Linked DNA regions of Caenorhabditis elegans. The protein of the gene in region 1 purifies or fractionates together with the protein of each later gene. This does not show direct contact. Each region holds a gene or a part of one and is shown on either strand. Other genes may lie near its edges. The genes, in order: cyd-1 and cdk-4.

Region 1 (16,290 bases):
TAACCCAGAAAAATGTGACGTCATCACGCTCTTAGCCATGCAAATCCAGTTCAGAAGTCTACGTCTAAATTCCCGCAATTACGTAGATCAAACCGACATGGGACACACTGACGCCACGTGTTTCTCCAGTTCTAGACAAGTTCCAGATGAAAACTAAGCGGTTTTCCGATTTTCAAGCACAATTTGGAGATTTTAGATAACTTTGCTTTTTGTCTATTATTACAGAAATTGCCGATTTGCTGGAAAAAATTCAATTTCGTCACAAGAAACAAATTTTTTTGCACTGTTTTATAAAAAAAGGGGCCCGTCCACCTGCTTCACATATCTCTGATCTTCTACTAGCGCAAGCTCAACGTCATCAACAGATGCTAATAATGTATGTTGCGCTTATGGTCAAGATTTGAATAAGTGCTCGCTTCACGAGCTTGCAGTTTGACGCAACTCTAGAAGTGGGGGTCTGTGTGACGTCACAACCTCGAAGGGTCAAACAACGTCATATGGTGATTCCGGGTAAATAGTGAAATATATGTTTGGTGGTTGTGGGGAATCTTTATTATTTCACAAATAGAAAAAAGTAATCATCGAAACAGCGAGAATTTTTGTACAATACAAGTAATTTCAATGGTCATCAGAATTGGGTGTAGGAAGCGAATTGAGCAAGAGGGATCTGGAAAAAAGATGAAAGAAGCAAGTGGGAATTCTAGTATAGAAATGATTAATTTTTGGGAGGAGGCTTGGGCAGGATTTGACTAATCACAAACGAAGTCGTGGATGTGACAAGAACCAGGAAGCAGTTGGAATTTCATAGGAAAATCCAACAAAAGGTTCGAGCACATCCGAACTCTCGGAGAGGGGGAGGGAGGTGGAAATAACTTAGAATAAATGTTTTAATATATATATATATTATTTTTTTCAGAATAATAAGAATAATAAACTGGAAGATTTGTTGGGAACACCGGTTTAAAAATTAAAGTTTAGGAAATAATGCAAAAGCTACATAGAAAATGGAAGACTGGATGTGTTTTGAGATTTTTTGGGATTTGGTTTCGAATCGACATAGAAGCTAAACAATGCATAAAATAATGGGTAACAAATGTTCATAAAGTCTTGAAGATCTTCGGCGGCGTCGAGTCCTCCTCAAACCAGTCTGTGCTCCGACGACGCTTCTTCTCTGAGGATGCGGGGCTGGAGACATCAGACGAGAAGCCCGAGTCGTTGAGGGGAGTTGATGGAGTTTGCTCGGAGAGGGGGATCGGCTCGAGGAGCACAAGCTTCTGGAAGGCAGGTTCCTCTGGTGGTGGAGTTGGGAGGGGTTCTTCCTTGAGCTCCTTGAGCTCTTGGAAGGCCTCTGGCTCTTGAGTGGAGGCCGGCGCGGATGGTGTCGGTTCCGTCTTCTCAGCATCTTCTGATGTGTAGATTGGCGTTGTGCTCATGCAACGCTGCACCATCGGGATGTACGAGTCGAGAAGGTTCTGGAAAAGGTTTAGATAAGAAATTATAAGTGCTGATTTTTTTTTCACTAACCACTTCCAACTGGAACATGTTTGCCAAGAGATCCTTGATCTTTACTGCCAGCTCCTTATTCTGTGTTGGGAGATTCGATACGTAGTAGAGGCCAATTGCACATTGCATGGATGGGAATAAGGTGGCAAGTTTGTGCACTGAAAAACCAATATTCATATTATTGATTTTATCATTAAAATTCCAAAATTCCAAAATTTAAGTTCAATCTTTTCTCCCCCCTTGGCCCATTCATCACTGTTCCCTCTGCCAATCATTCGCTCGCTCGCGCCTCAAGGTTTCGATTTCAATCATTAAGAAAAATCGAAGAGGGTGGCTGTGGAGGACATAGATGATTATCTACGAACAAGTCTCTAAGTGTCTGGGCGTCTGAAACATCAGTGGAACTCTCTCTGCCTCAAAGTGCGCGTTTTCACACCTTCATACATATCTTCCAGGGGTCTGACGCGCCAAAAATTTTGAAATTGAAACGGGCTGGCTGCCGAGAGAGAGAGAGAGGTAAAACGCTTATCTTGTGCTAACATAAACTTTGCCTACTGTAGAGGAAGGTCGTCGTGCTATTTTCATGTAATTTCACACTCCTTTTTCAAAACCGACTCTCCAAACCGCTTGTGACATCACACGTTCTTCACAATGCCTTGCGTCAAAAAAATCACCAGAAGCCCATTCAAACATGCGCAATTAGGCTATGCTCCTTTTAAGCCTCGAGCACCTGTTGACAGTATGTGTAGGATCGCGCGGTCATGTTGCATAATTGAATAGACCGCCCGAAATGACAGCTGGTAGACGATGATGATGATGGTGATGATGTAAAGATATTTGAAAATCTGGGAAGCATCTCATCCTCCTCAATGAGGATGGCACACGCTTCCGTAATCCCAATAAAAAAGTAATCGACCGCGAATGAATTTATATATCGGTCAAACGGATGTCCAACGATTGATGACTCCTTCTTCAGCTGCTCCTTTTCAAATTCCACTACGGGGGCACTGTCAATCAATTAGGCCTTGGCTGATGAAACATTCATTATTATACGATGATCTCCATTCAAATTTCAAATTCAAATGTCATCAGTTGCCCCAGAGAGATGACCCTTCCCATACTGTCATAACATTAATGTAGATGATATACATCCCTTGTCATCGGTGGTGTCTTGGAAGAGCAGATTGCGACATAACTTTTCTTTGTGTGTGAGGGCCGCGCAACAACAGGCACAACATCACGGGGGCTCGTCATCGTAAATCAAGAAGCGCAGATTTCACTCCTTTTCACCCCCATACATACATACCTACAAACACACACACACGGTATTCTTTCATAATCTAGCCCAAATCTTCCAAATGTATAAATCAACGGGTAGGCACGCGCCAGGTGGACACAACTTTCCTAATCCGTTTGGATAACTGAACATCCATTAAGGCAGAAGGATATGGGGGGGGGGGGGGGGGGGGCAAACACTGCGAGATGATCGATCAGAGCATTCCATCACGCTATCAAGTTGCCAAAGGCGATGCCGATCGGAAGTTTTGTTCAAATAAACATTGGGCAATAGGTACAAGGGCATTTTGAAAAAGGTATTGCCTACTGTAGAGCCTATTCTTTGAAGTCACTTCAACCGCCGGGATTAAAGCGACATGTGTTTAAGGGGAGTCGCCTTCTAATTGTTTCGGGTGTCAAGTGATCCGCAACAGTTAAACGGTTTCCCTAAGAGCCCACTAATTTCACCCCCCAAGCCATGCCGCCCGGGAGATAGCTATCTATAATTGAACCCGGGCCACCTGGGCTGTCATGTCACTATTTACAGCCATATTCTTCTAATTCAGATATTCACCCAGATGTTCTTAAGAGTAATTGCAAAATTGTACTACCCCACACACACACACGCGCACACACACAGTCATTTTTTAGCGTCTCAGTGTGTCACCACAGAGGAGGACGGCTTGAGAACAAAGAGGACGCACAAAATTTTGTGTACCTGGTACTGACTCACTTACTTTTTGGTATCTTATATCTGTAGTTGGGGGGTGGGAAGCCTTAACAAAGGCGCTAAAACCTAGGTCAGCGCGTGTCAAATGACCAATGAGCCGTACGCAAAAACTAACAACTAACAACTTTTGGACTGTTTGCATAGGCTAATTCCGAAATTTTCCTCAATTCAATTCGGTCTAAGATGAACTTTTTTCGATAGGTAGGACACTTTCCCTTGGGGAGATAGGACTTAAGCTCATTAGACAAAGACTGGCCCACTAGCCCACCTGCTGTGCTGGAAAGAAGAAACTTGTTTGTTTGATTTGGCTTAGGTGGAGGTGGATTAGGCTAAATTAGGCTGGTAATGATGAATCAATATGGAAAGTGCAAAAAAAACAGGCTTCTTCCTTCTTTTCTAGAAGCTATTTTTCTCCCCTCATCCCGGCCAAAAATATCCTAGTAAATCTCATTTTTCTTGTCCCTTCCACCACATTATGTAAATGCAACGGTGTCGCTCGCCCGACCCTACCGCACAGTCCTACGACCACCCATCAAAAAAACTTGTCTCTGTTTCCTTTTTTCGCCCCGGGAACCCTGTATGGGTGGCCCACCGCCGGCAATAAGTACAAAAGAATGGGGGACACGCGACGCACACACACACAACATCATCCAAAAAACGACTTCGATTTTATAGAGATTAGACGGGAGAAAGAACACCCTTCCGATTGAAAAATGACACGCGCCAGGGCACCAGGGGGGGGGGGGGGGAGTGAAAGGAACAAAAAAAAAACTACTGGACTAGGTGGAATGAAAGAAATGAAAACTCACTTTTTTGGCACTTCTGCACAACTGTCTGAAAGTCGCCCCTCATGTTGTGAATCTGTGGGATTCTTGAGGCGAGAAAGTCGAAGAAGGAGAACGCCGTCGGCGACTCGGTCTCCCATTGAAGTGTCGTCACAATGAGCAGCTCCCACTGAAGAATCATATCGATGGGGCAACTGTTATCCGAGTAGTAGGCGATCTTCGACGCGGTCATCGGATGTGGGGCCTTCAGTTTACTGGCGATAAACAGCGCGACTCCGGCGATCATCTGAACGGGTCTGATTTCATAAATGTTGATATGATGGGAGGAGAGGCAGGAGGATTAGTTTATGTACTTCTAACACTAGAGGTGAAATTCCAAACATACTCAATATACTCACCTGAATATCATGCTTCAAAATATTCTGCACCGACATAAACCTATCGATCAGCGAAACAGCCAACAAGAAGACGTCGCCATCACAATTCTCCTCCTTTGCCACGTCGTAAATCCAATCGATCGCCTGCTCTCGATGAAACGGCGTGATGTTCTCCTGAACGCCGGTGAAGTAGTGATAGTTGGGCTGTAGCGCCTCCTCGTACTCCATACAGTTATAGAAGGCTCGCATGTCGAGTTGAATATGAGGATCCGTACGGTTATAAATCAGTGTTCGGACATTATCGTTCAGAGCAGCCGATCGAGATGGGTGTAATTGACAGCTCACATTTGACTGGAAAATTGAAAATTGTATTTTAAAATTGTACTTTAAAATTTAAAATTGAAAATCAATAATTATGTACATACATGTTGAATAGATGAAGTGGTCGAGATTTTCGAAAAGAAGATTCTTATCTTTTTTCACTTGGAGGAAAATTAGAAATTAAGCGTGAGGGAGAGAAAAAGAGTGGGCGACGAAAAAGGTGTCAAAATTTTGCCGAAAAAAATCTACCAAAAAAAAATAGAGAAGGACAAGTCTCCTACTGCGACACACACACAACTTAAACACCAGAAAAAAAAATGTTACCTCGGTAATAGATGTTTCCGACAAAACTGCTGAAACTTGAGGAAGCATCGATAATGTGCATGGCTCCTCTGCGTAAGATGTGCTCGGACCAGCCGACGACGACTCAAAGTCCATCTGGAAATGGAACTTCAGGAATTTATTATTAATGCTTATTATTAAATCTCAAAAAGTTAGTGAATTTGAGAAAATTGTCAAGTGGAGAGAGAAAGCAAGAAAAAAAAGTAAGTCAAGGTACGGCACCTTGACTCGCAATGACAGTCGAGTGACCGGAGGCGGGTGACTGCCAGGGACTCCGCCCAGTTTTTGCGCACCCTCTCCCCCACCTCCCCCCAGGGCCAGCCGTCTCCCCCAGGCACATGAAGGAATGAAGGTGATGATGATGAAGACGGGGGGTTTTGGGATTTTTGAGAATGAAGAAAAATACTTCTGCGCTGATGTTGCTGACTGAACGACGACGAGCTGGCAGATGACCCAAAGACAGCGGGATACTGGGTCAGCAGTCGGCAAATTGCAATATTGGGAAGAGGTTGGCGGGGGTCATAAGGTGTTAAAATATTGATTGGTGCACAGTTATGGACCACGAAAAAAAAACAAACTGCGGATCGATAATTACGTCCTTGACAAAGAAAGGTGTCAAAATCACTACACTCTTCCGGTTTGGCAAAGTTCCAAGGTTAACGGGAGACACGGAGGGTACTAGCAGCTTTTCCTGTCTAGACAGGTAAAGGGTGTCAATAAGGCAAAAAAAAATAAAAACGTTCAGAATGATTAACATTTTTGGGTAATATGTTTAAAAAAAAAGTGTTAAAACTAATTGAAATTTAAAAATCAATAAAATTTTGATAGTTATCTAAATAGGCTTCTAACTTTCCAAAAATCAACAAAAATCAAATTTTGAAAAACAGAGAAAATTACGCATCTTCTAGCCTTTCCAAGTATACAGCAGAAACTTCAAGTTTTGTGATATGCTCTAAAATCACCTAAAATACTTTGAGCATTTTGGATTTTTTCTTATGATGCTCTTTTACTAGAAAAGTATTTAGAAATGACGTTAGTTATCGTCAGTGTTAAAATACCCTTTATAATTTTTTTACAGTTAAAAAGTGGGTTTTCACAGTTTTTTGACAGGCTTTAATTTTTTGTATTCATATATTATAGGGATGAAAACTTGTAGAAATGCTCGAAATTACTGAAAAAGTCCATATATATTTGGTTTTTTTTTGCCAAAATTTAGACTGAAAATTTTGAAAAATCTTAAAATAAATCCAGACTGTTTTATCATATATTAGGTAGTTTTAGACTACCAAAACTATATTAAGGGCCAAATCTCCTTTAAAGTGTCCAAAAATCTATGTGAAATTCGGGCCTTTTCTAAACATCTACGCTACACCTGAAAGCGCCTATTAATGTTAATATATAGGATTTTTTCTTACGGGGGCTCTTTTACTGGAAAAATAATAAGAAATTATGTTATTTATTGTCAAGGCTAAAATGTCTTTTGTAATTTTTTTTACAGTCAAAAAGTGATTTTTTGACCTACTATAATTTTGAAGTTCGTCTTGGACTGAAATTTTTGACATTTTCTAAACATCTACGCTACCCTTCAAATTCAAAAATTTGTCTCCCATGGCAGCATATATATATATTTTTTTGTATCTTTATTTCTCCCCCACCACCTTTAAAAAGTTCATCCAAACACTAAACCACACACACGACATTTGGCCTATTGTTTTGGGAGCCACCCATTGAACACAGTGGTGGGTTCCCAAACTCATAAATTGTACCGGACAAGCAACAAATCAGACGGAGCAGGGAACGGGGAGAGGTGGATATGGAAGGTTAACACTCAAGTAATCTTAGAAAAGTAGAAAAAGTGAAAGTTGAGAAAATTATGGTAGTAAAAGAGATTGGGATGCGCCATCCCACACGTACTACCAGGTGTTCGGCCAGCTGCCCATATCTGGCTGACCTTCTTCTTCTTCTTCCAAACATCTTCTTATATTTCATTTGACTCCCCTAACATTCCCACAGGCAAATAAGGGACTATCATAGCAGGGCTCAGCTATCAGTTTTCGCGCACCATCTCCCCCTCTAATGCGACACTAATCTGATGATGGACAAGTGAAAAGTGTGACCTTTCCAGTCGTATATTTGAACAAGAGAGTGTGAAAGATCTGATTGAGATAGGTGTGTGTAGTTGTTGAATGGGGCAATTGGCGTGCTCTGATGACGTAGAGCGGGAGAACTCACATTGCGTAAGAAGAGGTCAATTCCAGTAGGACAAATAGAAAACAACGGGAGGGTGGTAGAAACGATTTGGCGGATCTACAGGCCACCCACGAGCCGACAGCAGGTCGAGCAACAGGTGCTCAAGATGACGTAGGTGAATTGAGTATATACATATATATCTAGATATGTATGCAACAATATCCATATTACAATATGTGTGTGTACTATTGCGTAGTTGGGGGCATGTTGAAATTATGAGCATTGCGTGATAGGATAATTATTTAAGAGTTATTATCTGATATTTGGGTTGCGGTAATTATGAAAAAGGTGAACGGGGAAGTTTGAATATCAAAATAATTTTGGTTTGCATGGGATTCTTCTAGCAAAAATCAATGTTTTATGGATAGGTAGGCCCATATTTTTGCCAGATATACAGGCAAGGTAGACGTAAGTTTCGACCCAAAACAAGTATAGGCATAAAGAAGGCGTAGGCACAAGGCAGGCATATCAAAGAAGACGTAGGTACAAGTGCAAGGCAAGAAACTGTTTTTCTGCCTAAAATAAAATTTTTGGAAAAATTTGAACTCGCATAACAAACCGTTGCAAACCAAAAAATTGAAAAGATAGCTAGAAAAATATGTAATAGTAAAATAGACACATTAAATATCGATTTCCACTAAAATTTTTCCACCACTTTTTGATCTACCGGAGTCCTTCATTTTTGAGTAGATCAAACTTTTTCAACTTGAAAGAACAAAGGATTTAGTGTCAGAGTGTCCCATTTCGGTTTGATCTACGTAGATCTAGAAAAAAAATGAGAGAGTTGAGACGCATTCTCAACAGATTTTGCATCGTCACATTTTTTGGACATAAAATTCCCGCATTTTTTTTCAATCAAACTGTAAGAAAGTCGAATTTCAAATTCTATTGAATTTCAAAACTTCAAAACTTCCAAACTAAAAACTATAAAATTTGCGGCCAGGTCAAAAAGCTCTTAAGCCAACTGTTACCAGTCAATTTTTGGACCGGAAAGTACTGTTTGATCTCCTTTAAAATCTCTCCGAAAACATCTGTCTCTCCATTATTCGGCTTCTTGAGCTCATTATGGCACCCACTTTTGGACTCAACAATGTGCCAAACCAACTGTCATTCTTCTGTAGGGGAATTCAAACGTCTCCTCCTCTCATTAATATTATCTGCCTGTGCGCATCGTTCCTACTATGCGGGAATCGTGCCCCAACTGCTGACAGATGGCTTTTCCTTTTTGTGTGGTGATTGTGTTTCGACACGGCAAATAATTAGATAAAAAAGAAGCGATGCCTTTTAGAAAAAAAACCGAAAAAAATTCAGAGACAAAGAATCGTTCGCGCATTGGGAGGTCGGACCCCCCCTCTCATGCACTTTTTCCATGTAAATTACGCAACATTTGTCACCCGAATCTGGGGATCGCGTGTGGCCTCTTGTGTTGTTCGACCTCCGTGATTGAATTGGAAGAAACAAAATCACATTTACCTACGCGTATGACTGAAATGATGAACGGAGGTGATGATGATGGAAGGTCGTTCGGTTTTCGGCGCCCCTCGGAGATGATGATTTGTCGTGCCAGGTAGAATTAAATTCAGGTTTAAATAATGATGCTCTAGACTTTTTGAAACTTTTTTTTTTGAAATTGTTTGAGGGGATCTTGTTGTCGCGCCACTCGCCTTGCGGTGGAGTACCGAAATCTAAAACTTTGCTTTTTAGACCCAAAATGAGCCAAAACTGCCGAATTTTGTTATGAGACGTTTTGTTAATTTCTCAAAAAAAGTGATGGCGGGCTCATTTTCAGCTAAAATCAAAAATTTTGCCACAATTTTGCCTGAAATGATGCCTGATGCCTGAAATTAAAAAAAAAAAACTTCAGAAAGCGTTTACTTTTGGAGTTTGTATTGAAATCTAGAATCTCTTATATAATTTTATTTCAAGAAGAATGTATTCCAAAAATTTAATCCCTATTAACTTTCAACTAACAGATTTCCATTTGTTAGTTCAAAATAGCCTACCTGCCTAGAAGGTGGCCTGTAGGCTTACGAAAATTGCAATTGTAAACCAGGCCTAGGTCTCCTCCAATATGAGTTAGACCTGCAGGTAGGCGTTTGATTTTTCTAAGGTGTTCAAGTTTCCAAATTTTCAGAAATGTTGCCTAATTCGTTGTTTTTTAAAAATAAAGCCAGGAGATCTTTTCACCAGTATTTCTTTAAATTTCAAGATCTAGTTTTCAATTTGTTGTGTATTGTTTTTCAATTTTCAATTCAAAAAAACCTACGTGTCTACAAGGCTTACAAGGCCCGTAGGCCTTTGAAAAAAATTATCAATGGTAAAATAGGCCTAGGCATCCTCCAATATAGGTTAGACCGCAGTCAGGCGGGTAGGCATGTTTGTGCCTGCGCTGAACCCCAGCTTTCATACTTCTAAAATGTTCAAGTTTCTAACCTTTCTGAATTTTTGCCCAATTAGTTTTCAATATAGTCCGGAAACTTTGAAATTTGAAAAATATTCAAAGTTTTTGAAATCGAATTCTTAAAGTTACGGTATCAACTATTTACCTGAAAATTGATCTAATTTCCAAAATATTTAATTATTTAGCTATTCAGGACTATGGTCTTTATCGGAAATGGTGCTCCTGTCATCTCAATGTCATCTCAATAAGCTGCTCAATTGGTTCGTGCCAGGCAAATTCAAATCCCATTCCACAGCTCGATGAGATCAGGCCTGCACTTTTAGCCAGTTCATACATACCAGTCAGTCGGCTAAAAAAGTGCACAAAAGGGAACGTTATCACCGGTAATGTTTGCCGTCTTCTCCTCTGTTCTTCGTCGTTTTTTTCAACTTTTATATGAGTGATGTCAGAATAGGTGAGAAAAAGTGAAAAAAAGCCAGAGAAGTTTTTTGTTCCAAAAAGGGCAAACTTTCTCGTGTCAACCTTGTGCCGGTACCGACTGGGGTACTGAAAAAACACGTCACTGGGGTCGACCGCCGAGTTCAAAGAGAATACGAGGAGACCACGAGGTGGTTGATGATGATAATCGAGGCTTTGAAATTATGATTGAATGGAAATTGATAAGGATCACTAGTGATAAGGGAAATAGTGGGGGGGGGGGGGGTGGGGGTGAACGGAAGCATTTGGAGATGGAGCGTGTTGGAGCAACTAGAAATTCCACCCTCCGAGGCGTAACTCGGGCCCTTGTGGAAATCCTGGTACCAACTAAACCACACGTAGATCTACAAAAAATGCGGGAGAAGAGACGCAGAGTTCTTAACTGATTTTGCATGGTTAAGAACGTTCTGACGTCACTTTTTTTTGGGCAAAAAATTCGCGCATTTTTTGTAGATCAAACCGTTATGGGGCAGCCTGGCACCACGCGTAGTCTTACAGTATTCCCATCACGGTGCATGATTGGGAGAGTTGCCGTAGACAAATGAGACTTTGCAAAAACAGGTTTTTGTCGGCTGCTCTTTTTTTTCAACGTTATCAAGGTATCATGGACAGTTTTTCAGAAATTTGAATAGTTTTTTGTTCAATAAATGTACAGTTATTTATTCTCACGACCTTTCCCCACTTTCCCACAAATTTTTTCTCCTGCCTCCGCACTCAAACAATCGTAAGATTGCATTGGTCAACTCTCTCAATCACAATCTCAACACAATTCTTATCAGTTTACAAACCGATAGGTCAAGCTGGGCGCCCTTGTGACATTTTGGGCTCCAAAATGGCACAATAAACATACCATAATTGTATAGCGTGCAAATATGTATAGAGGATTGTTTTTTGAAAACAAAGAAAAAAGTGTAGAAAACTATGGGGAAATCCTTGGCAATTAGTGTGTCCGGTGATTGACACCTCGAGACTAGATACTCACCGATTTTCAAGATTCCAATCTTTTTTGCTGTGAGGAGTTGACTGTGTGAGGACATACACATACAGTGATGGTGATGGTTATCTCTGGAAATGATGAACATGTTTATCTTTTGCAATGGTAATTAGTTGAGAGACGTCTGTAGGCGCCAGCAAGGGTAACTACGCGGAATTTCCGCCGTCCGGAGTTATTGGCGGCGCCAGTGATCATATGTGAGAGTTTGGTTAATGCTACTAGTTGATAAAGAACTGTACTATTCAGCTTGTATTGGGGAAATTATTGGGAAACATGTGAGAATTTTGTAAATTTGTGGGAATTTTTCCCATTTTGAAATTTTAGAAAAGCTACGTCACCTTGATTGCAGGATTATAGTTTTTCGAAATTTTAACTTGATTCGTGGTGAGACCTAGTGTGCGCCTCTAAACAGATTTTGGTGTTCAGAACAAAATTCTGTAAAAATTTATAAATAGAGGCTGAATTGCTCATAATAAAATGGTCAGTTTTATTTTCAAGATTTCTCGAAACTGGCTTTACTCGAGAATTTTTTTAGAAGCTTTTCCTAGATCTTTATAGGTCGATAGGCTCATTTATATGCCTACGTACCTACTTTTTGCCTGCCGGCCTACGCGCCTATTTTCTGTATTTAGGATTGAACTCAGATATTTGCTTCTGGAATAGAATAGGCTTATGCAGTTCAATTAATATTTGAAAAGAAAATACAAAACTAAGAAAATAATTAGGTAAGCTATAGGTAGGCTTTGGGCTTGAGGTAGGCGTGTAGGCACGTGGCGAGCCTGCTTTTTTGTACCTACTGAGCAGGCCTATAGTTAAACTATTGCTATATATTGAGTTTGAAACAAGAGGGATTTTTTCAGTAGAGCTTTATAAGTTTAATATCGGAACTTTTATCGAGTTTTTTAGTTTATTCTGTTCTATAATTTCCAAATGTTTGCAATTTCACACATTTCAATTTGATTTTCTCAAGGCTATGATGATTTTTTCCCGATTTTTCCCCGAAAACTTTGCGATGATCTTAATCTAAAAATCCCGTATAAAATGTATGACTTCCTCTGTTTCCCGCCAATTTTACTCGTTTCAAATTGGAAATGTGTGTGCTGGAAAATGTGGAAATGACTGAAACTTTAAAAAAAACATTAATTAATCAAAGCTTGCCAGTTTAAATTGAAGGTCTGGTCACGAAAACTTTGTAAAAAAAGAGCTGCTTAAGCTTATATTTGGTAACCGTCAAAAAATCATAGGTGCGCGTGTAGGCACGAGGCAGGCGTAGGTTGATTTGCAGGTACATATATGGATTTTTGTTGTTTTGATCTTCAACTAGGAAGATTACGGTATAAAATATATAAAATTTTGTAACCTATGCGCACTGACAACTTGAAGTGAAATCTCTGACAACCTAATTCAGCGTAGATTTACAAGATAAACAAGATGCTAAATTGTGAAAAACCCTCTTACCTCAATTCTCCGAAATATCCATCAATCAAGTGTCTCCATGTAAATTTCACGGTAGCGGATCGTTTCGATGTTTCGATGTTTGTAAAAATGCAAAGGTATGGAGAAACCACCTCATACCGTCCCTATCAGTGGCATTGAAAACTGGCACAACCTGTTACCAAAGGGGACACTTTTGTTATCAACTATCTTGTCTTCAAAGCACGCATTATTTCCCGCAAAGTGAATTGGTTCCAGTCACCGGCTCCTTATCAGTCTGAACACGCGGCTCGTTGTGTTATTTTTTTAATTGAATTCTCTTCACAGGTGTTCTGTTTATTTATTTTATCCTTATCAATAGGTGATAAGAAGAACAAGAACGCCGAACATAGTTAGTTTATTGACGCTTCAAGTGCTCTTATCAGTTGATTGTTCCAGACAATGATATTTGATATTCCAGGTGATAAGGAAAAAGGAATTCCAGCTTGATTTGCAAAGTTAGGTTGCAAAAACGATCATTATGCAAAACGTTTCAAAATGATTTCCTTATCTTTACTGTCAATCGGATAATAAAACCTTCAAAGGTGTGTAGGAATATGACTACGCTTTGATCCTACCCAATAATGGACCATAAAATTGCGGAACAGTGGCCACCTAGGTGTTGACAATAGAAAAGAAAAAATTAATATTCAAAACTGCTCCAGTAGGGTAGATCAAGCTGTGCTACCGTAAGATAGTGGTTACTGTAGCAAGAGAGGGTTTTTGGAAAGTTGAGAACGGTAGAGAATTTCAGAGGTTAGGTAAGTTCTTATAGGGTTACTGTAATTTTACAAATTTCAAGTCTTAATAGACTTCTGACTAGGAGATTTGTAATGGTTCAGTCGGTACTGAAGCGTTTTATTTGTAAGTAAAAAATGTCAGCCTCTACCTACCTGCCTGAGTACCTTCAAGGTGACCTGTGCCTGCCTGAAATTTTTCAAAGTAATCAATGCCTGCCTGAATACCTTTGAGGTGTTCTTTGCCTAACTGAACACCTCAAAGTCAACCTATGCCTGCCTGAAAATTTTCAAAGAAACCTATACCTGCCTGAATACATTCGATGTGACATATGCCTGCCTGAAAACCTACAAGGGGACCTTCGCCTGAACCAAAAGACATAAACTTGGCAATAGGTAAGCTCGTTAAGCAGGAAGACATAAGGTAGGCACGAAGATGTGCCTTTATGCAATGGAAGCAGGGGTGTGCAGCAAATTTTGTAATTTTTTCGGCAAATCGACTTTTTTTATACTGAGTACGGCGAATTCGGCAAATTTGCCGAGATCGGCCGATTCGACAAGTCTACACTTTTGAAATTTGCAGCGCTTGGCAAATTCGGCAAGTTGGGCAAATTTGCCACACACCCCTGAATGGAAGCTTTACTTTCAGTAGTTTACTAAAATTGTGTGTACTATCATAGTATTAAACATTTAAGCTAAGTTCTAATACCTTTTACGTAGGCCTCAATACGACTGAATACCTTTAAGGTTGCCTACACCTGCCCTGTGCCTACACGCGTGCCTGAAGCCAAACAATAAAAATAGACGATAGGTAAGTTTGTAGGCAGGTAGGCATGGGGTAGGCTTTGAGAACAGAGCGGATTTAAAAATTCAAACTAAATGCACAATGTTTGCCTATCAAGTTGTGTGCAGTACTTGTTGTAGATACTTGACGAGGTTACTGTAGGATTACCCTGGAAAATCTGCAATTTTGCACGCTTACATCCCAAATTTCCATAATGATCCTTATCTCAAAGGGTGTGTCCGGGTCAATACAATTGTCAGTCAATAAAATTACGAAACAGCGCAATACATAGCCCTGTGTGTATGCCCGTAATAAAAACAGTGCCCTCAAAAAGGGGACCGCACCTCGTTAACCTCGTCGTGTGGTTCTCCTAGCTCATTGTGTTGCGTCATCAGAAAAGAGAGGAGAAGGGAAATAATTGAGAATATATGGAGAAGGAGAACGAGACAGGTTTACAAGACAAGGGATGTAATGGATCGATGGATTGAGGCAAGTGGGATATCATTATAATATGTAACAGGTGTCCTTTGAGATTTGCCGATATGCGCTAAGCCTTCTTGAGGACCCGTGAAGCATTGGCAAGATGTGGGAAATTGGGGAGTAAGCTAATGTTCTCTAAATTTCACAAAAAAAAGGCCTGTTGGCATGTAGGCATGCAGGCATGCAGGCATGCAGGCATATAGGCATGTAGGCATGTAGGCATGTAGGCATTTAGGCATGTATGCATGTAGGCATGAAGGCATGTAGCCTTGTAGGCATGTAGGCATGTAGGCATGTAGGCATGCAGGCATGTAGGCTCTCTGCCACATGTTCTACAGCAATTATATGTAGGTGCCAAACCTTTGTATATTTTACGTTTTAAAAGTATTGTCAGAGGGGATTATTTTTATTTTTTCTATTCATGCAAACCAGGGGTGTGCGGCAAATTGGCCAAATTTGCCAATTTTGCCGGTTGTTAAGCTCGACAAATTTGCCGAATTCGCCGCTCTCGGCAAATTTTGAGATTTGCCGCACACCCCCGACACAAACCTAATTTATAAAAAATAATTTATTCTCAATATCAAAAAAATTCTAGGCGTAGTAATAAAAAAAAACATATAGCACATTTGAATCAATCACTAACAAAACATCTAGCTTTTGAAAGTGGATCAGAAGAACCCGTAAAACTATCGATTGGAGCACTTGGGAGGGGAAAACAGGCAAAAAAAAACGGTATGGAACGTGAATTTCAACGGGAGAGTTCTGAAAACTGGGAGTTTGGGGGAAAAAAATTTAAAAAATAAATAAAAAATTACGGAAAACAAAAAAGTTAAGCCCGCTCAGCGCTCCGAACGGATTTTTCAACTGGTTCCTCTTTTGTTGTTTTCTCGTCTTCTTCATCTTCTTCTCCGTTCACTTTGATAACTTTTGGCTCTTCCTTCTTTGGAATCGGACCAGCTTCGTGCATTTGCAACGGAGCTACCTTTTTCTTTTGCGGACCTGATGTTTTTGTGAATGGGAGGGCTGAGAAGACGATCGGGAGCACGACAAGACCATGGAACATTCCTAGGAAGATTACCAACACGACGACTTTCACGAAGACCTGGAAATTTTTTGAGATTTTTTCGTTGTTTGGAACTTTGGGATCCCTTTAGAATTTTGTAGTTTACAGTTTTTGCAAGGAAGCTTGAGGTGGGCGGAAATTGCCGTTCGGCAAACCGTTTTGTCGACAAATTCGGCAAATCGGAAAAATGCCGGTTTGCCGATTTGCCGGAAATTTTCATTTTCGGCAAATTGCCAATTTGCCGAATATGTCTAGAGGGATTTTTTATAAGACGGAAACACTTAAAACTGTGTTTAAT
Region 2 (14,518 bases), on another chromosome or scaffold:
ATGAAGTCAATTGCAAAGTAATGGTAATAATAATAAATGGAATTAACGCCGTGTTCCATCCTCGAAGAAAATTCCTCCGTCGATGGCGCAGTACTTGGGGCAGATTCCCTTTTCTCCTTCACCTCCAGCTTTTCCTGGTGGTCCTGCAGTTCCTGGGTTTCCGTCTGGTCCTGGAGCTCCAGCTGGTCCTGGTGGTCCTGGTGGTCCGGCAGCTCCTGGGGCAGCGGTTGGACTGGCTCCATCTGGTCCCGGTGGTCCTGCTGGTCCTGGTGGTCCAGCTGGTCCTGGTCCTGCTGGCTCTGGATAAGTGCTCTCTCCAGCTGGTCCATCTGGTCCTGGAGTTCCGGCGGCTCCGTCGTTTCCTGCGGGTCCTGCTGGTCCTGGTGGTCCTGGTGGTCCTGGTGGCGATGGTGCGGCTGGTGATCCTGCTTCTCCGTCTGGTCCTGCTGGTCCAGCTGGTCCATCTGGTCCTGGTGGTCCTGGTGGTCCTGCTGGGCATGGCTGACATGGTGGTGGAGTTTTTGCTTCGCATGGTGCAGATGCCCCCTTTCCAGCGGCTCCCGGAGCTCCTGGTGCTCCTGGCTTTCCTGGCTTTCCTGGCTTTCCTGGAGATCCTCCTGGTCCTGGTGGTCCTGGATTACAGCATCCAGTGCATCCACCGCCAGCAGCTGCATCTGCAGCTCCGGCTCCTGCTCCAGCATCAGGACCTCCCGACGAGTATCCAGCCTGTCTTGCAGTTCTGTTCACTGACACGTCGCTATTGATTTCAGACCACATATCTTGCACCGAGTTCTGAAGTTCATTTATAATCAACACTAGTATTTTGAATTATACCTTGCAATACAAAGACTCGCGATGAAGTTGAGCCTTGGTATTCTCAACATAAGTGAAAATAAGTGGCAAAGTCAGACACAATGCAACAGCGGCAGTAACAGAGAATCCGACAGCCGAGTATGCAATTAGACGGTACGCTTTAAGACGAAGATCGGTTGGAGACTCCATTTTGAACTCTAGAATGCCAAAGCACACCACTGGAATGAGCTTCGTGTAAACCATGGGCATATTTATACTGCTTCTACTATTGAAATTGTTCTAGTATAGAACTGGTAGTTGGATCAAGATAGTAAACGATTGACTGCGAGATATCATAGTTTGGCAAAAAACAAACAACTTTTATGACGTTCTAGGTGTTTGTAAAATGAAATGGTTCTGGAATGGGATTCCAACAAAGAGAGAAACGATTGTATCTGGAAATATATCACAGAACATGAATGTGGAACAAGGCTTGAAAATTTTTGCTGATATCTCCGTGCAATTTAGTGAAATGAATGAAAGTTTTGAAATTAGATTTTATTATCAAAGTTTCTATAAATATTTTTCCAATTATGAAAACATGAACAGGGCAAAACATAATAATCAACTGAAAACATACACATACTTTTTAGGCATGTTGGTCAGAAATAACTTTTGCATATAGGTCTACAGAAACATAATTTTCAGGATTCGTGAATGTTGAACTAAAATCTGCACGAAAACACGTCTTAATTGAGAATACTTTTAAGTTATTTATTAATAAACCTTCGAGAAATAGCACACAAAAACTCATTCAGTAAAACAATTAGGGCTACAGATCGATAGTTCACATATTGTACAATTTGAATATAATATTTTTAAAAACTAACTATATATATTTGGCCGATTTTCAGTTTTCGTTTAAAATATTTACAACAATATTTGATTTTTTGGCACCAATAAAGTAACGTGTGATACTGTAAATACTTGTCAATATAAATGAATTTAACTTTATAAGTTTGAGAACATAATTTTATTTATGCTGCATGTTATCTGTTCGCAGCGAAAACTATCATCAAATACTTTCCGGTCAAAAACTTGAAAAAGGATGGGCCGAACCGGGGATTGAACCCGGGACCTCTCGCACCCAAAGCGAGAATCATACCACTAGACCATTCGGCCATGTTTCCCTGACATCTCTCCGTTATATATAACTCTTCCCTTGATGTCTCTGTTTCTCCCTTTACATTTCTTTCACTGTGTTTTTGGGTTGTTAAGGTTTGCGTCTCGTTTCACCTTCGCTCTCTTTAATTTGGTTACCGTATTTCCTCTATTAGTAAGGCATGCAATACTAATTTTCGGATACCTATTTAGATGCAATACTACTAGAGAGTGGAGGTGCATGCTTCGTGTGTCACCCAGAAAAACAAACTCCTTTGTGAAACAAGCTATAAGATACATAGAACAACGGCAATGTTGGTTTCCAGAAATTTTTTATATTGATGTAATTGCAAGTCAGGATCACTTTGAAATTCTTGGCAAAAATTGCAGCGTAAAACTATACAAAGGAAAGGATATTTTCCGAGTTTTGGAAATAATCTGTAGTCTTGACGAGCATTTAGAAGTCTATGCTAAACTTTATATAAGTAATTCTTTTAAAGAACTACAGGTTCAAAGAATTGTTTCAATTCTACTTCGTAAGAAAATATGTGTTGTGTGTGTGAACTTCATCGGAAGACTAATGCCTAAGAAACTTTTTCGAAGTTTTTTGAAAATTAAGACGAATCAGTTGCGAGTTGATGTGACAATACCACACGATATAAAATTATGCAATTATAAAATTAACAAATTATGGATTTTTTGCTTAATTTCATGTCCGTTGACCTGAAAGGTATCAATATCACTAGTCGACAATTGAACTACCTACTCAAGAAATGGCAGGAAAGGAGCTTTCGTTTAGTACATTTCAATGCAGTGCAAATAAAAACAAGTCTAGAGAAGTCTATCGTAATCGAAGGGACACAATCAACACCAGCGTTAGTTTAATTCAATTGTTTTATTTTGATACGATTAGTTAATTTTAGGTTGGTCTCCTGTTTCAAGATAATTCGAGTACATGACGGTGTTGCTCATTTCGAAATCAGTGATAATAACTTCTGGCTCATTGTTGGAAAAATTGTAAATTATTCCACGGCACAGTCTCTGTAACTAACAAGAAAAAATTCCCGCTCGTTGGAAACATTACGTCATTATCCCTATCCTCAAGAAGGCTACAGACCATATCTTTAACTGTTCCCTTTGCTCGCATTATTGAACAAGTCATCTGTTCTCAAATCCGCACATACCACATATTTCCCGCATTATCTCTCTTCCCATTATTAGCATGTGTTTCTTCATTTTAGAAACTCGTCCTCCTCCCGTTCTGTTAACTTTCGACTTTGCTAAGGCTTTTGATAAACTTTCTCATGGTATCCTCCTTAATAAACTAAATAGTTTTAGTCTTGATAACCTCACCTGTTCATGGTTTGAAGAATTTAACAACAGCAGAACTTTCTCTATCCAAATCAATAAATTTACTTTTAACGTCCCCTTCTTTTTATTTATAATGTTCAGTGCCGCCCCTTTTTATAATGTTTATAAATGATTTATTGATTGATTTAGATCCCATCGTAAATGTTGCTTGCTTTGCTGACGGCATTAAAGTAATACACCACAACCCTACAGTTCTTCAAAAACTATTGACCTTATAATTGATTGATCCAAACACAATACTCTCCCGCTGGCGCCAACCAAATCTTTTCTTCTCTTTCTGGGCACCCTAAATCAAAACAATGCCTACCCACCTAAGTACAATACCTACCTAATAATACCTACGTAGTAGTGTTTTTTTTTCTGTTCCTTTTTTGCGTTTTGTTTCACCGTCGCAATTTAGTGATTCCTTGTTTCTCAATAGAATTGGTCTCATACATTTTGAAAAATGGAGCCAGCAGACACCACGGCAATCAATAAATCATTGAAGATTCACTAATTTTATTCATTGTTTAACATTATTTGAGCTATCGAGCACGATAAAATTCCTAATTGGACTGGCCAATATTCTGAACATGTTTAAAAAATCTCGTCGATGTGACGATTCTGGAATGGAATGACGTTGTAGAAGATCATGAAAACATGGAAGCCGCTCCGAATTCCAAAAACCGCTGATTCATAGTGTTTCAGAGTATTTCAGTATGCACAACTTGTGAAAACTAACACATACGACGCAAACACCAGAATTTTTTTTTCAATTCATTCCTTTGCTTTTTGAAAATAAATTTTATCGTGCAATCTCTTTTGATTGTTTTATGTTCAAAACATTTTTTACAGATCTGTTAAACTTTTTTGCTTTACACGACAGCCCTCAACACTTTTTTGCAATTTCTCTGAAGAAAAAGCGATACAACTGTGTCGTATGTCAACTCGCGTAGAGCCCACGCCAATCATTTTGAACCTTGTGCTCAGAGGCCAAGTGTAAGTGTTCCAGAAAAAAAAGCAGCACTTGTCGGTGAAAGAAAACCGGAATACAAAGTCGACAAAAAAAACAGTAAAAAAATATACGCTATAGAACAAAGGGAACAAATAACTTTGAAAAGTTCTGAAAAATACTAAAAGATTGCCCCAAATTTATTATTTTTTAAAAGTTTGTAGATACCTTTATCGCGCAGGGATATTGAAATCTTGCCGAAATACAATAAGCGAAATTATATAATTATCCCTTCTAGTAGGTTCCTCTTAAACGACGTGTAAAGTATTGATTCACAGACTCGCCAGAACTCAGAATACATGTATTATTGAAAAACGTGTTGTACTTAACATTTGAAAAACAATTGCAAAATGGAAATTTGACTAACCATGACACCAACAAAATATTACTGTACAATTACTGTACACTCTACGTTCCTAGCTTGTTGGTTGTACCTTATTCACTTAAATAAAACAGTTAAAAAAAAAATAAATTTTAAAACTTTGAACGTAATTTCAGGTGCACCTTTACCCAGAATTCTCAAACTGTCACATTTCTATTAACAGTTCAATGAACATCCAATTGCCACTCTTCGTTTTTGTATTGGGGTCAGAGGTGGAACCTTCAAACTTTGCAACATTTTGCAAGACACGCCCACTGGAACACATGTCTAGGAGAAATCGGGTTAAACTCTCCCAGTTAAATTGCGGATTTGTTGACGACTTGTAGCTACGACTACAGAAAATTGAGGTGAGATTTGGTTTTAAACAATGGTATTATCAATTTAAAAATTTATTTCCAGGTACACGAATTGAGATTAGAATTTGGCTAACATTTTATAATAGAACTTTTCAAGTTTATACTGACTATTTTACATTTATGATGATTCGAATACGGTTTCAAAAAATAAAAAGCTGTTGATATCACTACGAAATTAAAAACAAGTTCAAAACAATAATTTCAGATGAAGTTCGCAATTTTAATGCTTCTTTGCATTGTTTTGATCTTTGCAACTGGTGAGCCCTTGAAGCGTTATTGTGGAAAAAACCTTGTGAGGATAGTTCAAAAATTTTGCACATCCACTGAAAATTGCTTAAAGTTGAAAGGTAAGTTATTGTTAGTCCATGTGTGTACAAATTTAATTGACCATATAATTTATTTCTAAAAGTTTAATATTTCATAATTAAATTTGAAATTGTTCATCTATATGGAACAATTCCTCAAAACGCTGTTATTGTATCTATCAATAAGAGCTGTTGGAAATTTTTTGAAAAATGCCAATAACTCTTTCAGATCAGGATTTAATCACTATTTGCGGAGTAGGAACGACTGAAAAGGATATGTCAACAATCTGCTGCCCATCATTTTGATAAAATGCTCTACATAAAAACTTCTAGTGATTTTCTTCTTAAATTTATTTTAGATTTTCATTTCTGTCCGACTACCTCATTCTTTTTCTATTGTTTTCAAGGCTCCTACTTTTTGAAAATATAGTATCTAAAAAACTTTATTTTAAAAAAATATGAAAGAATCATTGTCAGGAATTCACAACATTTAAGAGATCACACTAAAAATAAAACAGCGCAGCAGCACACAAAGATATATACACGTGGAGAAAGTGTCATAACATTGAAAAAAAAAATGAATAAGTCAAAATGGAAAAATACAAAAAAAAATGAATATCTGGTTTCACTTGTTGAAGTTGATTTGCTTGAGAACACGAGATTTTGTTGCCACCGCAGGCTTCAAGAACGGATGGCTCAATGCTCCACGAGCAGAAAGTCGCTTCGAATGATCATATCTCAGGCACTGTTGCACAAACTCGATTGCCTGTTTTGACATCTGCGGGCTCAGATCCTTGAGGTTGGTCGGGCGATATTGTGGGAATGAGTCTCGGGCGATGACAGATTCACTCGGCCAATCCTTGCCAACTGGGGTGCCCATTTTCCTGAACAATTAATATAAGTTCAATATTGCAGTTTTTCTGTAATTAGGCAATCTTACGGGTTTTTTAAACATACATACTAAATTTTAGATTTTCTTGTAAAACTTACTTGAAAATGTCTGTCAACTGCTCAGCCTCGTTTTGGCCTACAAAAAGTGGCTGTCGGCAGTAAATTTCCGATACAATGCACCCGAGAGCCCACATGTCAACTGTACTGTTGTAGTAGGATTGAAGAAGAACTTCCGGTGATCGATACCAAAGAGTGACAACCTAAAACAATCGTATTTGTAAATAACTAATTTTTAAAAATTTAAAAAGAAAAGGTAAAACTCTTAAAAAATGTACTGTTTGTTCTATAATTTTAATTTGAAAACCGAATACAAACCGACTTTATACATACAATAATTTTTTTAAAATCTTTTTTTTAAAGACATTTGTATGAAAAATAAGTTAGTGTATAGACATGCTTTCTCGAAATCAAGTTTTAAGCGTAAAAACTTACTAATGTTGTGAAAGCCGTTGTATTTGAGTACTCTTTTGACAATCCAAAATCAGCCAATTTCACGGTTTGATCTCTGTTGAGTAGAATATTCTGAGGCTTCAAATCCCGATGAATGATACTGTGTGTGTGAAGAAAATCCAGTGCTCGAACAATTTGTGCAGTGACATGTTTTGCTTGTTGCTCCGGAACTCCGCGTGGAATATTGCGCAGGAACGTGTGCAAATCCCAATCACACCTTTCCATTATCATATTTATCTTGAGAATTGCTCTCACGGGGTCAAGTTGATGAAAAACAGACTTTAAGGAGATGATGTTCGGATGAGCTTTTCGTGCCAGATGCTTCATCACTGTTATTTCGCGAAGCACACTTTGCGGGATTCCCTCGTTTTTCGAAGAAATCATGATTTGCTTGAGTGCATACTGAAAAATTCGAATGTAATAATTCAATTGAGATGCAATAATGTAAAAACAAAAACATACGTCTTTTCCATCATGAAGGCTTCGAACACGGTACACATTTCCATAGGCGCCTTTTCCAAGAGCCTGAAATAAAAATGTTAAAGATGGAGTAGCGCCAGTGGGGAAAATGCTAAACACCACTGCTATGGTCCCATTATTGCCGAATTTGATGATAAAACTTTTCAAAATTTTTTTTGAAAATTTTTTAATTACTGTCCAAAAGTGAAAATTACTCGGTTTTTGCCGCTGATTATTTTGGAAGTCGACGGAAAAAATTGTTCTCCTACACTTTTTATTCTTTAATTTTGTTTTAATTATTTGTATTAAAACATTGTAGGGGTCGGAATATGCGGCATTGTTTTGGATTTCCTCAAAAGCTCACTTTTTTTAAATGTTGGCAATTTGCCAGAACTCGCAGAAAAGTTTTCAAATCTGATGGCAGTTCTAAACTTTTTTTTCTAATAGCAAGTATATGTCGGATTGTCATTATTCAGTTTTACTAAAAATAAGGGCAAATTTCTATTCGAAGACAATTTCTTGCCAAAATTTTGCCTAACAATTATTAGTTTCGACTATAAAAATTGGGTAATATATTTTGGATCGAGTTGGATCAAACTTTGGATATATTTTACATTCAGAAACAATAATAGCTATCAAATCACTCAAATTAATCCTTATAAAAATTCAGAGCCACGTTCATTTTTCACTGCAGACTCCTTCCCTAATGTATTCAAATATTCAAAATTCTCACATGTTGCGGGCTTTTGTTTTGCTCTAGATCTTTTGATTCAAATTTGAAATACGAAACTTATGACCTCATTTTTTATTTATCCATAGAAATCTGAAACCAAAATAAACTATTTTGAAGCAAAAAAAAAATGTTTCGCAGCAAACAATCTCATTGCCGCCTTCCCTCTATTCTTTTTATTCGTCATTGGCGTTGACTGACTTTCACGCAAACTCAGCAGAAATGTTGCCATTTGTTTCTCTTTTACATGCCGACACTGATAAAAGCTTATACATGTGTACGTCTTTAGGGAATCGAAAAATCTTTGGTAGAGACAAAAGTTTGTTTCAGGAAAAAAAATTAGACAGGGAACTTTCAAATATTTTTCTTGAGCACGTTTTGAGCACACCATAGTTATCTTTCAAAAATAATTTCTTATTACGCAAATTTTAATACTTTGATTAGTTTGTTTGGATTGCAAAAAGTGAGTAATTAGTCACATACTTAGAAAACTTGTTCATTTCAAAACTGAACGGTTTTCAAAAGGTTTCTCACACTATCATCGAAAAAACAACGAACTTTCTATTCTTGTGAAAACTTTGGGAATTATCTTCAAATTTCGAAAGTTAAAAAAATCTTCATCTAATCCTCTTGCACTTTTGCGACTGCACTTGCGTAAGTTTCCGAAGAAAGCGCTTTCAACAACCTTGAATATTCAAAAACCGCACACTTTCCTTGACCCAGTTTTCTTTGGTCCTCTAACTGTAATCTTTTCCAATCATACCTGATGAATTTGAAAATCCTTCATTGTCAAGGGTTTTGCCATCTGTCCGCAAGTCATATTATTCATCATTTTTTGGAGTCGAAGGATCTCCATTTTGTACTCCTCTCCATAAAGATTCTCGCACATTTTGGATCTGAAAAAATTTTAATTAACATTCAAAAGTGTCTAACGTGGTATTGGAGGCAAAAAAAATAATGTTGCAAGAGTTAAGAATCTATGTAATTCAAATTTAAAATCCGATTTTATTGGCGGGCGAACGAGAAAGAGATTGCTGGCAGACGGTAGAGCGGTGTGTCTCCTCTGCCTCTGCAGCGAAAACTGTCTGCCGGTAAAGAGCACTCGGTTAGCGGAGGATGGTAGAGAAAGAAACAGAAAGGGCAACCTTGGCAAGAAGATGGACTGTGACTGTCGGTAGGCAATTCTTCGGTGGTTCTACAACAGCTGGTGTCCCCCTGAGCGCGGACACAAAGGGAATAAACCAGCGCACATTATCTCAAGTCAGCTCTCTGTCATCTCTTCTTCTCGCGTGCTCTCTTGCCTTCCGACTCTTCTCACCGCTGCCACCATTAAAACAGAATGCGTTAAACGCGCTCTATTGACAAACGTGATGAGCTCGAACTACATGCATGTTTTTGCTTGATGTTTTCATACTTTATACGAATTTCGCAACTTTCTTTTATGAGTTTAAAGTTGTAATTGTTCATTCTAGATTACAAATGACTCAATTTGACAAACAATTTAGGTATTAACTGAAAACATAACACTCTTTTTTCAACAGATAACAAATATTTGTAATTAGTAAAAAATTGTCATCTTCACTCCCCCTTGTTTCTTTTTAATTGAAAACGCGTGTAATATTTTACCATCCAGCACTAAATTTTCAGATGAACAATATCCGTGGTTGGTTTTCATGTTTGGCACCGTGCTTCGACTGTGTGGAAGGCTCCAGTTTTGACAATGCCTCGTATCCACGATTTAACGCAGTCTACCAGCCAACAGTACGACTAGATGTGGGGAGAATGGGTATGGTTTTGAACTTAAAGTTGGCTGGCTTGTTCACGTTCCAAAATCTTCACACTTTAAACAAATATTTAAAGGTGTAGTAGAGTCAACTTTTTTTCGTTTAAATGACAGAAAATAGACCCTAATGAAAATATTTAAAAAAAAAACTAAGTGTTAAAAATTTTTTCAATTTCTCAAAAATGAAATGAATGACTTCATTTTTGGTATTTTCGCGTTTTCGTCGATTTTTCTTGATTATTCTTTTATATATGGTTTTTTTGGAAAAATGTTGGAAAATTTGACAAACAGAGCCAAATACAGAGAAAAAACTTGAAAAAAAACTTTAGCATTCAGCCAGAAAACGTGAGAATATCAAAAATGACGTCTCTCATTTGCGCGGAAATTTAAACTTAATTTTGGCGTTTTTTTTTGACTTTTGAAAAATTGAAAAAATTTATAAAAAATTGAAAAATGTTTTTATTAATATTTTTCACAGTCATATTCGGTCACTAGGGTCTATTTTCTGCCATTTAAAGCAAAACATTTTTTGACTCTACTCCACCTTTAACAATCCAGCAGATAAAGTTTCATTAACATGAGTATGTTTTACTAAATACGCTATGTAGTAAAAAAAAGCAAAAAAAAAAGAACTTTAAACTTTTTATAGGTAAAAATGTAGTTATTCTCAAAGAAGGAGAACGAATTTGCGGTATTGGAGGAGCGATTGCAACTGTTCCAATTGTGCAAAACAAAGCATATTTCCAAGTGACAGTTCAACAAACCGGTGAGTTTTTGTTTTTCAAAACTAGTGTTTCCTCAAATGAAATTAAAAAAGTACAAATGTCTTATTTTCAGGAACATGGGGAATAGGCTTAGGACAAAAGCAATCACCATTCGACAAAGTCCCATGCACTGAAAAGTTTTGGGGAATCAGAGATAATGGAGACATTGCAAAGGAAAATGAGGTCGTGGCAAAAATGACAAAAACTGTGGAGGAAGGAGATGTTGTGGTGCGTTTTATAAGCAGAAAAATGGAATTATTTCGTACTTTCAAAACAAATTGCTAGTTTTTTTTAAAGCTTAACATGTCTTACAATGGAATACAAATAATGTGATACAATTTCAAGTAACGATTGCAAATACTCAAATATAATTTGAAGTTTAAAGAAAAAAAAACAAAAGTATTAAACTATTTGTTACCAAGTAAATCTGTTAAAAACTCAACCTTTCAGGGTGTTGCATATGACCACGTGGAGCTCAAGTTCTATGTAAACGGAAAAGCAGTGGAAGATGTGATAACTGGAGTTCGAGGCCCGGTATGCCAAGAGATTATTTGAAGGGATTAAGAAATCACTTAGGAACAGTGCCTAATAAGATTAAGATTCAATATTCATTCGTTGCGCTCAACTTTTTAATATGATCCCTGGCTTGGAATGCAACCATTTGGACACAAACCACAATTTTCCTAATCAATTTTTTTATTGAAATTGTTATCATTTTCAGGTTTACCCTATGGTGTATGTTGACGACTCAGCAATTCTCGATCTCAAATTCAAAAACTTCACGGAAGCTCCACCAGCGGGATTCGGAGAAATTCTCGTGGAACAAACTATTCTATAAATCTTGCCTGATTTTAAAACCATTGACCGTGATTTCCTTCGCTCTTGTGACTTGTCAATAATGATTTTGAATTTCATTGAAACTCCTTAATTTAATCTAAACAAATATGTTCTTATTATTATCAAATAGTATTGAAATTAACACTTCAAAATTGTAAGTTACAATTTCCGTGATGGAGAGTAAAAAATACTAACTTAATACAAACTTTCAGTTCAAACAGAAAATCTGAAATTTTAGGCATGTGGCTGACCGCACTTTTTTAGATGCAATATAACCGATTATTTGTTTTCATATTTACTTACATTTCATAACTTTAAAATTGATCCTGAAAATCAGTTTTTTTGATTGAACTGAAAACTTCTGGCACCTGGAAAAATTTTGTTATTAAATTCTGAAAGCGCTTAGAATTTGAAACAAGTCCCCGAAGAAACATTTTCAAAAAAGTTCATTTTAAGTCAGATATTAATTTTCAAAGTTACACAAACTAAATAAATCTCCTAATAAACAAATGCGGTCATTTATATGGCTCAAATTCAGTTTTCTGGATTGAACCTAAAACTTCTGGCACCTGGAAAAATTTTGTTATTAAATTCTGAAAGCGCTTAAAATTTGAAACAAGTCCCCGAAGAAACATTTTCAAAAAGTTCATTTTAAGTCAGATATTCATTTTCAAAGTTCAGAGTTCAGAGGTAAGAACTTGTTCAGATTTTTTGCAAATTGATCAAATTGAAGAAAATTGATTTTTGATGCCGCATTATGTTTTGTTATATTCAAGTAATCCTGTTGTTATTAAATATCAGGTCACCATTATTGAGTGTTTCTCCGCATTTTGAAAGTAATTTTGAAAATAGAACAGATGAGTTCCTTTTATAGATACATTTATCATTATTTAATTCAAAAAGTTTACAACAAAATTATTATAATGATAATTAGAAAAATTCTGGGGAAAACGATAAGATGTTGGGATATCGGAAAAACCACAGAATGGATGTATCAATTGTTATGTGGGTACAAATTGGGGTACAAAAGAAAAATTTTAGGTTTTATGGGAGGATGGGGAGGGGTGAGAGTTGCAATAACTTATATAAGTGGGAATATACTTATTAACACAAAGAGCATATTATTAGGCGGGAAATGACAAAGTTGCACATTGTTGCACAGAAATATCAAAGCATTCAGAAAGAAGCATCTAATTTCAATGAAATTGCTGGCTGGCGGGGGTGAGACGATTTGTTCTGAGCTTGGGCTTCGGAGTACATTACAAGGCCGAACAAATTACCATGTTAAAAATTAGTTGCAATCTCTAGGTTTCCAAGTTTTTGATGAAAAAAAAAAAAACACCGAAATTCTGGAGAAAGTAACAAAGTACACATAAATGTTGAATTGGATTGAAGTGAGACAAGAGAGAGGACCAGAAAAGAAAAAATATTTTTTTTTAGGGATTTTCAGATGAAACTATACACATTCGTTAAAGAAATCAGCTTCAACGCAGTTCAAGACAATTTTAAATACCAAGCAAGAAATGTGAAATTGAAATAAAGAAAAATAGAAGCATTTTTTTGAATTTTTTGAATTTTTTTCCTTTTTTTTTAATTTTTTCTCCAGATTTTTAAATTTTTTTGGGGTTTTTTGTAAGATTATTTGAAGAAAGTACAATAGGAAATGGGAAGGTAAAAAAATTGGATGAGAAATTATGAAATGCAGAATGAATACTGCTTTCAGTACCAAAAAGTATAGCCAACAATTTTTGCTCTGAATATCAGAGAATATTACGACCTTGGCATGCAAGATGAAGTTAGAGAGCTTAGTTTTTAGCAGTTGGAGCAGAAGTAGAAGCAGCAGCACTCTGAGCATTGGTGAGCACTCCAAAGGCTTCCTCGACCTTGCTTCTGAACAACTCAGCGTCTTGGAGCATCATGATCAACTCGGCGTTGTCAATCTCCAGCATCATTCCAGTGATTTTGCCGGCCTCCTTGTGGTTCGGGAACATCTTCTCGATAAGAGCATAGATACGCTCTCCGAGAAGTTGCTTTTGCTCTTGTGGAGCAGCTTGAGCAAGCATATGGGAGGTAAGAGTCTCCTGTCCGTGAATAACGATTCCGGATTGTCCTTGTCCTTGTTGTCCTGGCTGTTGTGCTGGTTGCTGGGAGTGCTGTTGTGGTTGTTGCTGGCGTGGTGGTCCTTGGTAGAACGGCTTCTGTGGTGCTCCGCGTGGGGCTGGTCCTTGCTGAAAAATAGAGAGTAGTATTCATTTTATCTGGATTAAAGCTTACTTGACGAATAGGTGCCCCTCCCATCTGCACTCCAGGTCCTCCGACACGTGGTGCTCCGGCTGGTCTTGGAGCCATTCCATATTGTGGACGACCATCGTTGGTTCGCATTGGTGGACGTCCCTGTTGTTGTGGGTAAACTTGGCGCTGATTGAATGGATATTGCATGAACATCTGGTTTTGGAACACGCGTTGTCCTGGTGGTCCGCGAATTTGAGCAGATTGTGGCTGGAATCCTGGACGCCCTTGAGCCTGTAAATTAAGAAATTAAGACATTTGAATTAACTTTGTAGAAACGTACATTCATTGGATTTGGAACAAAGTATCCTTGTTGTCCTGGCTGGTAGAGCTGAGTCATTGCTGGAACTCCGCTGGCCTGCTGTCCCATGCGAAGAGTTGCAAGTCTTTGCATGTACTGAGATGCCAACTGAGCACGACGATCCTCCTTGCGTTGAGCAAGGGCCACATACAGTGGCTTGGCTCCAATCATTTTGGAGTTCATATCAGTGACGGCAGCGGTTGCCTCTTCTGGCTTCTCAAAGCACACGAAACCGAATCCCTTCGATCTTCCGTTCTCATCAACCATAACTTTAGCAGAAGTGATTGTTCCGAAGGAAGAAAAGTGATCACGAAGACCATCATCGTTGAGATCTTCCTCAATGTTCTTGACGTACAAGTTTACTCCTTGATAACGCTGGACACGCTCTTGCTTCAAAGCTTCGTACTTTCTCTTGAGCTCTGCAGAACGCTCAGACTTCTTTTGAGCTCTGCAGACTGAAAGCTTGCAGTCAGTTCCTTCCAAAATGCTGTCGTTGAGTTTTTCAACAGCTTGACCAGCGGCATCCTGATCAGCAAAAGCGACAAATCCAAAACCTTTTGGTTTGCCTTGCGCATCGGTCATCACTACGGCACTAG

What was found.
Region 2: the proteins of cyd-1 (region 1) and cdk-4 purify together in Caenorhabditis elegans (affinity purification with western blotting, with the first as the bait; one study listed by BioGRID). This does not show direct contact.

The regions. Positions count from the first base shown.
Region 1 is NC_003280.10:12,977,362-12,993,651, reverse strand, and holds cyd-1 (G1/S-specific cyclin-D), read right to left. Parts: upstream 5,430-16,290; coding exon 5,316-5,429; intron 5,022-5,315; coding exon 4,692-5,021; intron 4,580-4,691; coding exon 4,318-4,579; intron 4,187-4,317; exon of another isoform or gene 4,003-4,186; intron 1,662-4,002; coding exon 1,525-1,661; intron 1,473-1,524; coding exon 1,098-1,472; 3' UTR 535-1,097; downstream 1-534. Other genes in the region: ptr-18 (Patched-related protein 18), read right to left, coding at 15,759-16,031. UniProt on the Caenorhabditis elegans protein: In association with cdk-4, regulates the progression through the G1 phase of the cell cycle during postembryonic development. Regulates proliferation of the coelomocyte lineage and intestinal cells during late embryogenesis.
Region 2 is NC_003284.9:13,510,068-13,524,585, forward strand, and holds cdk-4 (Cyclin-dependent kinase 4 homolog), read right to left. Parts: upstream 8,845-14,518; 5' UTR 8,838-8,844; coding exon 8,712-8,837; intron 7,285-8,711; coding exon 7,222-7,284; intron 7,162-7,221; coding exon 6,742-7,161; intron 6,510-6,741; coding exon 6,349-6,509; intron 6,243-6,348; coding exon 5,984-6,242; 3' UTR 5,789-5,983; downstream 1-5,788. Other genes in the region: col-185 (Nematode cuticle collagen N-terminal domain-containing protein), read right to left, coding at 43-792, 835-1,002; F18H3.1 (SPRY domain-containing protein 7), read left to right, coding at 9,596-9,734, 10,381-10,497, 10,569-10,723, 10,946-11,029, 11,217-11,333; pab-2 (Polyadenylate-binding protein), read right to left, coding at 13,138-13,560, 13,607-13,855, 13,905-14,518. UniProt on the Caenorhabditis elegans protein: Serine/threonine-protein kinase which, in association with cyclin D-like protein cyd-1, is required for the progression through the G1 phase of the cell cycle during postembryonic development by phosphorylating and inhibiting lin-35 and fzr-1.